Saccharomyces cerevisiae S288C: one gene and its partners. The gene in region 1 interacts genetically with each later gene. Each region holds a gene or a part of one and is shown on either strand. Other genes may lie near its edges.

Region 1 (7,223 bases):
GCGTTGATTCTCAATTGTTTGGTGATTAGCTTTTATATATAGATAGAAACCCAACGTTGGATAACCTCACGACTAACTTTTTTGTATTTTAGAAATAATTTGTCGATCGGTTGTATATTTTTGTCATATATTATCTAGAAACGTTAGGGAATAAACTGTTATCTAGGGTCCACTAACATACGCGCAGTTCGGAAATCAGCAAACATCACTTAAAGGACACCTGCTATAAACTGAATTGTGTCCAATTTTTCGAGTAGTTAGCAGTTCAATAAAGGGCACGTTATCAATTGTTAAAGGCAAAGAATCAGAATTAAATCATAGCAAACGACCAAAATGAACAGAGTTTCGTTTATTAAAACGCCTTTCAACATAGGGGCGAAATGGAGATTAGAAGATGTCTTTTTGCTCATTATCATGATACTTCTTAACTACCCAGTGTATTACCAACAACCGTTCGAACGTCAGTTTTACATTAACGATCTCACTATATCGCATCCTTATGCGACAACTGAACGTGTAAATAACAACATGTTGTTTGTTTATAGTTTTGTCGTGCCATCTTTAACCATATTGATAATTGGTTCCATTTTGGCCGATAGAAGACATTTGATTTTTATTTTGTACACATCTCTCCTTGGTTTATCACTCGCTTGGTTCAGTACGAGTTTCTTTACAAACTTCATCAAGAATTGGATTGGAAGACTAAGACCAGATTTTCTAGATCGTTGCCAACCTGTTGAAGGCTTGCCATTGGACACTTTATTTACTGCAAAAGATGTGTGTACGACTAAGAATCACGAACGTCTGTTGGATGGGTTTAGGACAACTCCGTCAGGTCATTCAAGTGAAAGCTTTGCAGGACTGGGTTATTTGTACTTCTGGCTATGTGGGCAACTTTTGACTGAATCACCGTTGATGCCTTTATGGAGAAAAATGGTGGCCTTTCTACCACTGTTAGGAGCTGCACTAATTGCTCTATCCAGAACTCAAGATTACAGACATCATTTCGTCGATGTAATTTTAGGGTCTATGTTGGGTTATATAATGGCACACTTTTTCTACAGAAGAATCTTCCCACCCATTGATGATCCTCTTCCGTTCAAACCATTGATGGACGATTCAGATGTCACCCTGGAGGAAGCAGTCACCCATCAGAGGATCCCGGATGAGGAATTACATCCTTTGTCCGATGAAGGTATGTAAGAATAAAAAAGAATATATACTCCACATGACATACGAAATATACGTATTTATTGTTCTGTATGGAATAACAGCGATTACATAAAGATGACATGTTACTTCTTTATTCAAATTAATCTTGACGTGCAAGGGCCTGCTTGTTATTTCATCGGACAATCCCAACATCACTTTACACGAAAGCCTTAGAAGTTTATTATTTGTTTTAAGTTGGACTATAGTGATGTAGGTAGTTTCTTAGGAAGCAGTTGAGTAGCTGATTTTTGAGATAAGAACCTGGTGTAATCAATCTATAAACAGCCTAGAATCTTTTTAAGCAAATTTACTTTTACATTTATCTCTATCTTCTTTCTTACAAGAAGTTATTTTCATTACAAAAGGACATTAAATACACTAAATTTTCAATCTTTACATTGTTGGAAAGCCTCGTTGTCTTTTAAGATTTTATAAGCATTGATTTTTTTTTTCAATAATTTTCCGTTCCCCTTAACACATACTATGTATAAATGTCATTGAGTCATCTCACTTTAGATCAATATTATGAAATACAGTGCAACGAACTTGAAGCGATACGTTCCATTTATATGGATGACTTTACTGACTTAACTAAAAGAAAGTCTAGCTGGGATAAGCAGCCACAGATTATATTCGAAATTACGCTTCGATCTGTTGACAAAGAGCCGGTTGAATCTTCTATAACATTACATTTTGCGATGACCCCAATGTATCCTTATACCGCTCCAGAAATAGAATTCAAAAATGTACAAAATGTAATGGATAGTCAATTGCAAATGCTGAAAAGTGAATTTAAGAAAATCCACAACACCTCCCGAGGCCAAGAGATTATATTTGAAATTACATCTTTTACTCAAGAAAAACTGGACGAATTTCAAAATGTGGTAAATACACAGTCCTTGGAAGATGATCGATTACAAAGAATCAAAGAAACTAAAGAACAATTAGAAAAGGAAGAAAGAGAAAAACAACAGGAAACAATAAAAAAAAGATCAGATGAGCAGCGAAGGATAGATGAAATTGTTCAAAGAGAGTTGGAGAAAAGACAAGATGATGATGATGATTTGCTATTCAACAGAACAACCCAGTTAGATTTACAACCACCTTCAGAATGGGTTGCATCAGGTGAAGCTATTGTCTTTTCAAAAACTATAAAGGCAAAATTGCCTAATAACTCAATGTTCAAGTTTAAAGCAGTTGTAAATCCTAAGCCAATAAAACTGACATCAGATATATTTAGTTTTTCCAAACAATTTCTTGTGAAGCCTTATATACCACCAGAATCTCCGTTGGCAGATTTTTTAATGTCTTCTGAAATGATGGAAAATTTCTACTATTTGCTATCTGAAATTGAATTGGATAATAGCTATTTCAACACAAGTAATGGAAAAAAAGAAATAGCAAATTTAGAGAAAGAGTTAGAGACGGTGTTGAAAGCTAAGCATGACAATGTGAATCGATTGTTCGGTTATACGGTGGAGCGCATGGGGAGAAATAATGCAACGTTTGTTTGGAAAATAAGACTCTTGACAGAGTACTGTAACTACTATCCATTGGGAGATTTGATACAATCTGTTGGATTTGTTAACTTAGCAACAGCGCGTATTTGGATGATTAGATTGCTTGAAGGATTGGAGGCCATACACAAATTGGGAATTGTTCATAAATGTATCAACTTAGAAACCGTGATCCTGGTGAAGGATGCAGATTTTGGAAGCACTATTCCCAAGTTAGTTCACTCCACTTATGGCTACACTGTTTTGAATATGCTATCGAGATATCCAAATAAAAATGGTTCTTCGGTTGAGTTATCTCCAAGTACATGGATAGCCCCTGAGTTGTTGAAATTCAATAACGCCAAACCTCAAAGATTAACTGATATTTGGCAACTTGGTGTTTTGTTTATCCAGATAATCAGTGGATCTGATATAGTGATGAATTTTGAAACGCCTCAAGAATTCCTAGATTCAACAAGTATGGATGAAACTTTATATGATCTTCTTTCGAAAATGCTTAATAACGATCCGAAGAAAAGATTAGGAACATTAGAACTACTGCCCATGAAATTCTTAAGGACCAATATTGACTCTACAATCAATCGATTTAACTTAGTTTCCGAAAGTGTCAATTCTAATTCCTTGGAGTTAACTCCTGGAGATACCATAACCGTTCGGGGCAATGGAGGTAGAACACTTTCACAATCGAGTATACGAAGAAGATCATTTAATGTTGGTTCCAGATTCTCTTCTATAAATCCTGCAACGCGATCACGATATGCTTCTGACTTTGAAGAGATTGCAGTTTTAGGCCAGGGCGCATTTGGACAAGTTGTCAAGGCACGTAATGCTCTCGATAGCAGATACTATGCGATCAAGAAGATTAGACATACAGAAGAAAAGTTATCTACTATATTGAGTGAAGTAATGCTGTTAGCAAGCTTAAATCATCAATATGTTGTGCGTTACTATGCTGCATGGTTAGAAGAAGACAGTATGGATGAAAACGTTTTTGAATCAACTGATGAAGAAAGTGACTTGAGCGAATCTTCCTCTGATTTTGAGGAAAATGATTTATTAGATCAAAGCAGTATTTTTAAAAATAGAACAAATCACGATTTGGATAATAGTAACTGGGATTTCATATCGGGGTCAGGATATCCGGATATTGTCTTTGAAAATAGTTCTCGTGATGATGAAAATGAAGATCTAGACCATGATACTTCCTCGACTTCCTCGAGCGAAAGTCAAGATGATACTGATAAAGAATCAAAGAGTATCCAGAACGTTCCAAGAAGGAGGAATTTTGTAAAACCGATGACTGCTGTTAAGAAGAAAAGTACGCTTTTTATTCAAATGGAGTACTGTGAAAATAGAACGCTATATGATTTGATCCATTCTGAAAATTTAAATCAACAACGTGATGAATATTGGAGGTTATTTCGACAAATTTTGGAAGCACTGAGTTATATACATTCCCAGGGTATCATTCATAGGGATCTGAAGCCAATGAATATTTTTATAGATGAATCGAGAAATGTTAAAATCGGTGATTTTGGGTTAGCTAAGAACGTCCATAGATCTCTGGATATACTTAAGCTAGATTCACAGAATTTGCCAGGCAGCTCAGATAATTTAACATCCGCCATTGGTACAGCAATGTATGTTGCTACTGAAGTTTTAGATGGTACAGGTCACTATAATGAAAAGATTGATATGTATTCACTTGGAATCATTTTTTTTGAAATGATCTATCCTTTCAGTACAGGTATGGAGAGAGTTAATATTTTGAAAAAGTTACGATCAGTGTCGATAGAATTTCCTCCTGATTTCGACGATAATAAGATGAAAGTTGAAAAGAAAATTATAAGGTTACTCATAGACCATGATCCCAATAAAAGGCCTGGTGCTAGGACATTATTAAATAGTGGTTGGCTTCCTGTGAAGCATCAGGATGAAGTAATCAAAGAGGCTTTAAAAAGTTTGTCGAATCCTTCATCCCCTTGGCAACAGCAAGTTCGAGAAAGTTTATTTAACCAATCTTACAGTCTAACAAATGATATTCTATTTGATAACTCAGTTCCAACATCCACTCCTTTCGCAAACATTCTCAGGTCCCAAATGACAGAAGAGGTAGTTAAAATTTTCAGGAAACATGGAGGAATTGAAAATAATGCTCCTCCGAGGATTTTTCCAAAGGCCCCCATATACGGTACGCAGAATGTATATGAAGTGCTTGACAAGGGCGGTACCGTCTTGCAGTTACAATATGATTTAACTTATCCTATGGCTAGGTATCTATCTAAAAATCCAAGTCTGATTTCTAAGCAATATAGGATGCAGCACGTTTACCGACCTCCTGATCATTCAAGGTCAAGTTTGGAACCTAGAAAGTTTGGTGAGATTGACTTCGACATAATTTCAAAATCTTCCTCAGAGTCAGGATTTTATGATGCAGAAAGCTTGAAAATTATCGATGAAATATTAACCGTATTTCCTGTATTTGAGAAAACAAACACTTTTTTCATATTAAATCATGCTGATATTTTGGAGAGTGTTTTCAACTTTACAAATATTGATAAAGCCCAAAGGCCTCTAGTTTCACGAATGTTGTCGCAAGTAGGCTTTGCAAGGTCCTTCAAGGAAGTAAAGAATGAACTAAAGGCGCAACTGAACATATCTTCTACGGCATTGAATGATTTGGAGTTATTTGATTTTAGACTGGACTTCGAAGCAGCCAAAAAACGCCTGTATAAATTGATGATTGATAGTCCGCATCTAAAAAAAATTGAGGACTCTTTGTCCCATATATCAAAGGTTCTCAGTTACCTAAAACCCTTAGAAGTTGCAAGAAATGTTGTGATATCTCCTTTGAGTAACTACAATAGCGCTTTTTACAAAGGAGGTATCATGTTTCATGCAGTTTATGACGATGGATCCTCACGTAATATGATAGCTGCTGGAGGGAGGTATGACACTTTGATATCCTTTTTTGCCAGACCATCAGGAAAAAAGAGCAGCAATACTCGTAAGGCTGTAGGTTTCAACTTAGCGTGGGAAACAATATTCGGTATAGCCCAAAACTATTTCAAACTCGCTTCTGGAAATAGGATAAAGAAGAGAAATAGGTTTTTGAAAGATACAGCTGTTGATTGGAAGCCAAGCAGGTGTGATGTATTGATATCGAGTTTTTCGAACTCTTTGTTGGACACAATCGGGGTTACAATACTGAATACATTGTGGAAGCAAAACATTAAAGCGGATATGTTAAGGGATTGTTCCTCGGTGGATGATGTCGTTACTGGCGCTCAACAGGATGGTATAGACTGGATTTTGCTGATTAAGCAACAAGCGTATCCACTAACCAATCACAAGAGAAAGTACAAGCCATTAAAAATAAAAAAATTGAGCACTAATGTTGACATAGATTTAGATCTTGATGAGTTTTTAACCTTGTACCAACAAGAAACTGGTAATAAATCTTTGATCAACGATAGTCTCACTTTGGGCGATAAGGCTGATGAATTTAAAAGATGGGATGAAAACAGCAGTGCCGGTAGTAGTCAAGAAGGTGACATAGATGATGTTGTTGCTGGTTCGACTAATAATCAAAAGGTAATTTATGTTCCAAACATGGCTACAAGATCTAAGAAAGCTAATAAAAGGGAAAAGTGGGTTTATGAGGATGCAGCCAGAAATTCTTCGAATATGATATTACACAATTTATCCAATGCACCAATTATCACTGTTGATGCCTTAAGAGATGAAACTTTAGAAATAATCTCAATTACTTCTTTGGCTCAGAAGGAAGAATGGCTGAGAAAAGTTTTTGGGTCAGGTAATAACTCGACTCCTAGAAGCTTTGCCACGAGCATTTATAATAACCTCTCCAAAGAGGCTCATAAAGGGAATAGGTGGGCAATATTATACTGCCACAAAACCGGAAAATCATCTGTTATCGATTTACAGAGGTAGGCCTTTAAAGATCTGTGCGGCGCTATAACGCATCAGTTAAAGGTAAAGTATATACAATGTCTTAGATACTATATTTAGGCTAGCTGATTCATCTAATTCACCGTTGTAAAGGGGGTAGGTCACCTTTCTTATACATATTCCTGATACTAAAGACAAATGTAGGTTTAATGAGATGGTCTACTTCTTCTCTCCTTTCTCTACTTTCCATTTTGTATTTAATTTTTCGGTGAATATAAATGTGTGCGTATGTTGTGTGAGGCTCCTCTAGCTCCTACGGGAGACATTTAATAAATGATCATAATATGGCGTGAAGAATGCTTTCATTCAGAAGTTTGACTAGCACATTCGGTTTCGTATCACGATTCCAAATTAGACGGTTAGGAACTAGTTTATCAATACAGAATTTAGAAGTGCAAGATGGCCGTTGGAAAGGTAAACTAGCTACAGAGAAGAAGACCAATAGGGAACACAAGTCAGTGGATACGAATATCAAGACAATGAAGATGCTTAAAAACCCGAAGAATTCTACTCGCTATTTGA
Region 2 (4,109 bases), on another chromosome or scaffold:
GGTGGAAATTCAATATGAACGAAAACATACAGATCGCCGCACCGGCCATGAGGGTTATCTAAAATGGGCCAACCTTCATTGGCGATTTTGATGGTGTCACCAGGTCTTACTACTCTGCCAGGTTTAACGCTCAATGTTAGTAACCTGTCGTCGAAGGTTTTTGTCAAAAATTTCTCAAATCCCGTCAAGGCCTCGCTTAACGATATGGTAATGCTTGTATACAAATCTTCCCCGGCGCCGTCGTCAAAGTTCTTCAAAAAGATTTGCTTCTGCTCCAAGTTTTCTTGTTTTTCAGTGAGATGGAACTTTAAATCACCACATGTGGTCTTATCGATTTCCTCGTCCGCCATCCCCTTGACTGTAATTACGTCGTTAAAGTGGTGTCCCGGAGCCACGTTCACTGTGATGATTTCCTTCTTTGACAGGAGCCCCAAGCCTGCGCAATCGGGGCAAAAGTTCTTTGGATTCTTGGGTCTTTTAGTGTACTTCCCCTTACCATTACATTTCTCACAGACCACCCATTGCGAAGCTACCAAACCGGGACCAAACCTCTTCAGACGTTCCTTTGAACCCTTTCCAGCGCATGATTCACATTCCACATCGTGTGTAACGTGAATTTTCCTCTTTGGTTTCCAGCCAGAACCGTGGCACTTTATACAGATGACCTGTCTCTTTAAATCAAACTTCAGCTTCTTGCCCATGTACAAATCCTTCAAAGTAAGAGATATATCGATATCGATATCCTTAGAGCTTGTAGAGTTGCCCTCTTCGTACGCATCATACTCGCCAGGGAAATTATTTCCATCGTGACTTCCATTATTGAAGAAATTGTTAAAGAAGTTCATAAAATCTTCATCTCCAAAGCCATTAGCGCCACCGCTGCTAGCGGCACCATTATCATCACCATACAAGTCGTAATGTGATTTCTTCTCCGGATCGCTCAAGATCTCGTAAGCGGCAGTGATCTCTTTGAATTTGATTTCATTTACCTCCTTTGAGTCTTGATCCACATACTTGTCCGGATGATGTTTCAGGGCAAGCTTTCTGTAAGCAGTTTTAATCTCTTGCACGGTCGCATCTCTCGTCACCCCCAACACATCGTATAACCGGTCTCCTCTATCACTGCCACTCATTCAAAACTACACCTGCGTACTTACTTTTCCCTTTCTTTTGGGTCCAAGCGGCATATCTCTTAAGATAAGATAAGCCTGACTCTTTCTTTGCCTCTCTGCCTTTCTTTCTTCTTCCCTTCTGCAGAGGATGGCTCGTCGCTACTCAAATCCCGACCCAAGAAACAAAGAAACAAGGATTGCACAGCAGAGCGCTGCCCCACACACATATATGCATATGTTTATTTACCGCATATTCGTGGCTATATAATCCATATATAATACACAGCACATTCATGATATAATCTTACATAGTAGCACTTCCCATTAGACGTTTTCTGCTTTTACAGTACTGGTTTTTTTTTCACTCTTGCGTCTTTTTTTTTTTTCATTCTGAAGGGGTCCAAGCCTAACGATTTTCGACCTTTCGTTGAGACAACTTCACGTACTCTTCTGACCTGCTGTGGTTGACGTATTTAGAGTTTGCTGCGCCCTTTGTAAACGATCGTGACCCGCGGACCATACTAGGAAAAGCTCTTCCGTTACTACTACTGCTTTCTCGCTATTTTACTCTAGTTGTTCATACTAGTCACACGTTGCTCGAGAACAGGACCAGCTTCTTTGTTTCTCCCCCGCATTTAATTGTTTCTGCTTCTCAATTGAACGCATATAAATATATTTCCCCAGTCTTTATTTTGCTCTCTCCACGATGTTATCACTGTCTGCCAAAAATCACTTCACAGTGAGTAATTCTATAACTCACGTTATTAAGTCATATCATATAAGGACTCTCACTTCAAGCGCAGAAAAAATGCCACATATCACTACTCCTTTTTCTACCTCAGCCAGTAGTACAAAGTTAAAAGCTTTCAGGAAAGTTAGACCCGTCCTACAGAGACATAGCTCTTCCTGGATTGTTGCTCAAAATCATAGACGTTCATTATCTGGTCAATCTTCGCTAAACGACCTGCGTCATTTGAATCGCTTTCCACACCACACGTTGAAAACTTCGAATAACGAGTTTTATCCCGCCGAACAATTGACTTTGGAAGACGTAAATGAAAATGTCTTGAAGGCTAAGTACGCCGTTAGAGGTGCCATCCCAATGAGAGCTGAAGAATTGAAAGCTCAACTGGAGAAGGATCCTCAATCTCTGCCATTTGACAGGATTATCAACGCCAATATTGGTAATCCTCAGCAACTACAACAGAAACCTCTGACTTACTACAGACAGGTCTTGTCTCTCTTACAATACCCAGAACTATTAAACCAAAACGAACAGCAGCTAGTTGATTCGAAATTGTTTAAACTAGATGCCATTAAACGTGCAAAGAGTTTAATGGAAGATATCGGTGGTTCTGTTGGTGCTTACTCTTCTTCTCAAGGTGTAGAAGGTATAAGGAAAAGTGTCGCTGAATTTATAACGAAGAGGGACGAAGGCGAGATATCATACCCAGAGGATATTTTCCTAACTGCTGGTGCATCCGCAGCTGTCAATTACTTGTTATCAATTTTCTGTAGAGGGCCAGAAACGGGTGTCTTGATTCCAATTCCTCAATATCCATTATATACCGCTACTCTAGCTTTGAACAATTCTCAAGCTTTACCATACTATTTAGATGAGAATTCAGGTTGGTCAACTAATCCAGAAGAAATTGAAACTGTCGTCAAAGAGGCTATACAGAACGAAATCAAACCTACAGTTCTAGTGGTTATCAATCCAGGTAATCCTACAGGAGCTGTCCTATCACCTGAGTCTATAGCTCAGATTTTTGAAGTCGCAGCCAAGTACGGTACAGTAGTGATAGCTGACGAAGTTTATCAAGAAAATATCTTCCCGGGCACCAAGTTCCATTCTATGAAGAAAATTTTGAGACATTTACAGAGGGAACATCCAGGTAAATTCGATAATGTTCAGCTAGCTTCTTTGCATTCGACTTCTAAGGGTGTTTCTGGTGAATGTGGTCAAAGGGGTGGCTACATGGAACTCACTGGATTCAGCCATGAGATGAGACAAGTTATCTTGAAACTAGCCTCGATTTCATTGTGTCCCGTTGTCACAGGTCAAGCTTTGGTTGATTTGATGGTTCGTCCACCAGTGGAAGGGGAGGAATCATTCGAGTCGGACCAAGCAGAACGTAACTCCATCCATGAAAAGTTAATTACAAGAGCAATGACACTGTATGAGACATTTAACTCTTTAGAAGGCATTGAATGTCAAAAGCCTCAAGGTGCCATGTATTTATTCCCTAAGATAGACTTACCTTTCAAGGCAGTTCAAGAAGCTCGCCACTTAGAGTTAACTCCGGATGAATTTTATTGTAAGAAGTTGTTAGAATCTACTGGCATTTGCACTGTTCCCGGTTCTGGGTTTGGTCAAGAACCTGGTACTTACCATTTAAGAACAACATTTTTGGCACCTGGTCTGGAATGGATTAAGAAATGGGAAAGTTTCCATAAAGAATTTTTTGACCAATACCGTGACTGAATAAAAGGGGGCAGAACAGTCTTCAATAAACATTTAAATAGCTAGTTTATTATAATAATGTGATCGTTTCTTTCTTCCACAACTCACATATAGTTATTTGATATTATCGCATCTTCGCTTCTCTATGCCATGTTTCCATCAATACTTATGTTTTATTTAATACATATTTGTATCAGTATATCATATCATTTCATCTTCTTTTGCTTCGATTTGTAATGTTTGTGCGTATAAAATCAATTGCGTAGTTCGAACACCCGTTAATCCTTTACTTCTTACCAATGGCACCTAACTTTGCTTTTCTTTCGACCTTACTACGACAGATTTAGATTCAAACGATGACGCTAATATCAATAGCCAACATGGAAGCCAACCTATACAAAGTACAAACCAACTCCAACATTTCAAATCCAACCATGCTGAAACCAGTTTGTTTATTATATCAAATCCATGAAATTCATCATCAAAAAATAGTCCGAATAAGGTTATTGAAATAAATGGATTTGTCAAAATTA
Region 3 (2,931 bases), on another chromosome or scaffold:
CCAGATCGTGCAATCTGATACATGTCCCTCCGTAGATGAACTGTACATTGACTTGCCCGGGCCAAGTTACACGATTTTCAGGCAGGGTGATTCAAGTTTCTTTATCTACTCTTGTCCCTCTGGCAGCAAAGTCAAAGATAGAATGATATATGCTTCTAACAAGAATGGATTTATCAACTACTTGAAAAATGATCAAAAAATCGCATTTAGTAAAGTGGTAGAAATTGGCGATTTTGTGGAACTAGACAAGTCCTTACTTATGGCAACAAATAAAGAAGATAGCCTCGATCATGGATCCAATCCAGATCTCCCAAACAAAAGCAATTTGAAATTCAACAAACCAAAGGGCCCATTGAGGAAAAGAAGAACATAGAGATAGAAATGGCATCTATATATGTGTGACCAACAATACATACGTTTTTATTCTTCTAAATATGAAACTGAATGTTTTTCTAGGTTTGCTGGAATATATATTACACTGGCAAAAATTGTTATGCTATGCTATTTAATGTTCATTGTTTTTGCAGCTTGATAACCTCTCTTAAGGCGCCAAATGGATTTTTTTGGAAATCTTGATTGGTTAGGACCTGATTGAATCTTGCAGTTTCGTTAGCAGCCAATGCCTTTGCACCCTTTTGGTTCCTGATATTTGGCTGATTCTTTTTTATCCTAACAGAACCAGGTTCTATCTTTTTCAAGTTCATTTCCTTTGTGTCCACAAACCTTATTTTAGAATCCATGTCGATGTCATCATCGTTATTCATGTCTTTGCTACTATTTTCAATAATGCCCCGTAAATCCTTTTCTTGCTCCAAAGAAGTGAGCAGATCTTGCATTCTTGGTTTTAGTTCTTCTCTTAGCTTTCTTTTCCTACGTCTAATGGAAGATTTAGAAATACCATCAAAATTGGCAGCTATGCCATCGTTAAGTGTGGATTTCCCCTTCAAGTTAGATAAGAAAGTATTCTGTCTGTTAAGTAGCTTTTCCTTTTTAGTTTCTTTAGGTTGGTGCAGAAAGGCCCTTGGATCAGATTCTATGTCATAACTCTCGTCCAGAATGCCATTGTTCGCTACGTCTGGTCCAAAATTTTGACTATTTCTTGCACTTACTTTGCTTCTAAGCGTGTTTCTCTTCTTAGCAACCATTATCGCTTATCTATGCTTCTATATTCAATGGATTTCCTGTCTCTTATCTCTGCTCATCGAGTCTGTAATGCTTGAGTATGTAAAACATGAAAAATTTGCAGTGCGTCACCCCGTTCAGTTTCTCGCGCCGAATAACATTTTTTATACAGGAATATTTCACCTTGATAATGGCCGACATTTACGTTATTTACCTATTGTCCCTTCGCCTAGACCTACAAGAAACATTGCCTCAAGTGCCACCTTCATAAAGTTTATTTTCTATTATGTCCCAGTCGAACCCTATCTTACGTGGCCTCGCTATTACAACAGCCATAGCAGCTCTATCAGCCACCGGTTATGCTATCTACTTTGACTATCAAAGAAGAAATAGCCCGCAATTCAGGAAAGTGTTGAGACAAAGGGCCAAAGAGCAGGCCAAGATGGAAGAACAAGCTAAAACTCATGCTAAGGAAGTGAAGCTGCAAAAGGTTACCGAATTCTTATCCATGGAATTAGCCAAGGACCCCATCCCTAGTGATCCCTCCGAAAGAGAAGCTACATTTACCACCAACGTAGAAAATGGTGAAAGATTATCCATGCAACAAGGTAAGGAACTGGAAGCAGCCTCTAAGTTTTATAAAGCATTGACTGTATACCCTCAGCCAGCCGATTTATTGGGAATTTACCAAAGATCCATTCCTGAAGCCATTTACGAATATATTATATTAATGATTGCCATCTTGCCTCCTGCTAATGTGGCTTCTTTCGTTAAAGGAGTTGTTGGAAGCAAGGCCGAATCTGATGCGGTTGCTGAAGCTAACGATATCGATGACTGAGAGTAACATTTTGCTTGCTTTTTTTCTCCGTTTTTGTTTCTTTTACTCTGTATATAGCCCTATATAATTACATCATTTCTCTAGCCTAAATCTTGTTATATATACCAAGCTTTTTGGAAAGCTAAGGATAAAAACAATTCTTTTCATTAGATGTATTTTTTCATCGTATTAGGTGTAATATATATATATATGTATATATATATATATATATAATATATATGTAGTATACACACGTGGACGACCATTAACGAATGTTGTATATGCTTATGCGGAACCTTTGTACTCTCTTAAAATAACAGGGACAGATGAAGGTGGCAAAGCGCCGAATTCAGTGATCACTTTTTTAATATATTCTGGTGGTGTTAAATCGTATAAGATGTTGACAATATTTAACGAAGGTAACTCTTGCCAACCATCCAAAATATTTTTGCTGTTGCTGTCTTCTTCATTACTGGCGTCCTTGCTTTCTCCTTCAGATCCTTTCTTACCGCCAATTTTATTACCCTTTGGCTTATTCTCCATTGCTAGCTTTTTCTTTTCAAATTTTCTTTCTTTGATAAATTGGTTTAATAACGCACCTTTATTACCGCGTCTCTCGACTGGATTTTCGTAATCTATATTAACCAGGTCATTTGGATCTGCCAGTTCATTAAATGTGACACTATCCAATTGTACTCTTTGTGAAAACTTCAAACTTTCGCAGCAGACTAATACAGGTATATTTCTTCTCTTAGCGCTCATAGCCAACATTGCTGTCCCAGCTCTTGAATATAGGAACCCATTAGATAGGATAGAATGGGCTCCTAAAAACACATAGTCCACATCCATATTGAATATCGTATCCAAACTTGTAATAAGTGCATACATAACATTGACACCAGCATTTCTTAAAGTTTCTGCCATTTTCCGCCCTTCAAATAGTGGTCTCGAATCGACGACAATCACTTTGATGTTTTTCTTTAAACTGATTG

The links.
Region 2: mutations in GCN2 (region 1) and ALT1 together harm fitness more than expected from each alone (negative genetic interaction), as found in Saccharomyces cerevisiae (3 studies listed by BioGRID).
Region 3: mutations in GCN2 (region 1) and SLX9 together harm fitness more than expected from each alone (negative genetic interaction), as found in Saccharomyces cerevisiae (4 studies listed by BioGRID).

Annotation. Positions count from the first base shown.
Region 1 is NC_001136.10:1,024,530-1,031,752, reverse strand, and holds GCN2 (serine/threonine-protein kinase GCN2), read left to right. Parts: upstream 1-1,703; coding exon 1,704-6,683; downstream 6,684-7,223. Other genes in the region: DPP1 (bifunctional diacylglycerol diphosphate phosphatase/phosphatidate phosphatase), read left to right, coding at 334-1,203; MRX10 (Mrx10p), read left to right, coding at 6,998-7,223. UniProt on the Saccharomyces cerevisiae protein: Metabolic-stress sensing protein kinase that phosphorylates the alpha subunit of eukaryotic translation initiation factor 2 (eIF-2-alpha/SUI2) on 'Ser-52' in response to low amino acid, carbon, or purine availability.
Region 2 is NC_001144.5:317,725-321,833, reverse strand, and holds ALT1 (alanine transaminase ALT1), read left to right. Parts: upstream 1-1,818; coding exon 1,819-3,597; downstream 3,598-4,109. Other genes in the region: XDJ1 (Xdj1p), read right to left, coding at 1-1,133; GPI-anchor transamidase subunit GAA1, read right to left, coding at 3,883-4,109. UniProt on the Saccharomyces cerevisiae protein: Alanine aminotransferase involved in both alanine biosynthesis and utilization. Under respiratory conditions, constitutes the sole pathway for alanine biosynthesis and catabolism.
Region 3 is NC_001139.9:642,636-645,566, forward strand, and holds SLX9 (Slx9p), read right to left. Parts: upstream 1,146-2,931; coding exon 513-1,145; downstream 1-512. Other genes in the region: twinfilin TWF1, read left to right, coding at 1-373; TOM complex receptor protein TOM20, read left to right, coding at 1,409-1,960; GCD2 (translation initiation factor eIF2B subunit delta), read right to left, coding at 2,225-2,931. UniProt on the Saccharomyces cerevisiae protein: Involved in ribosome biogenesis. Required for normal pre-rRNA processing in internal transcribed spacer 1 (ITS1). May be involved in the movements of the replication forks.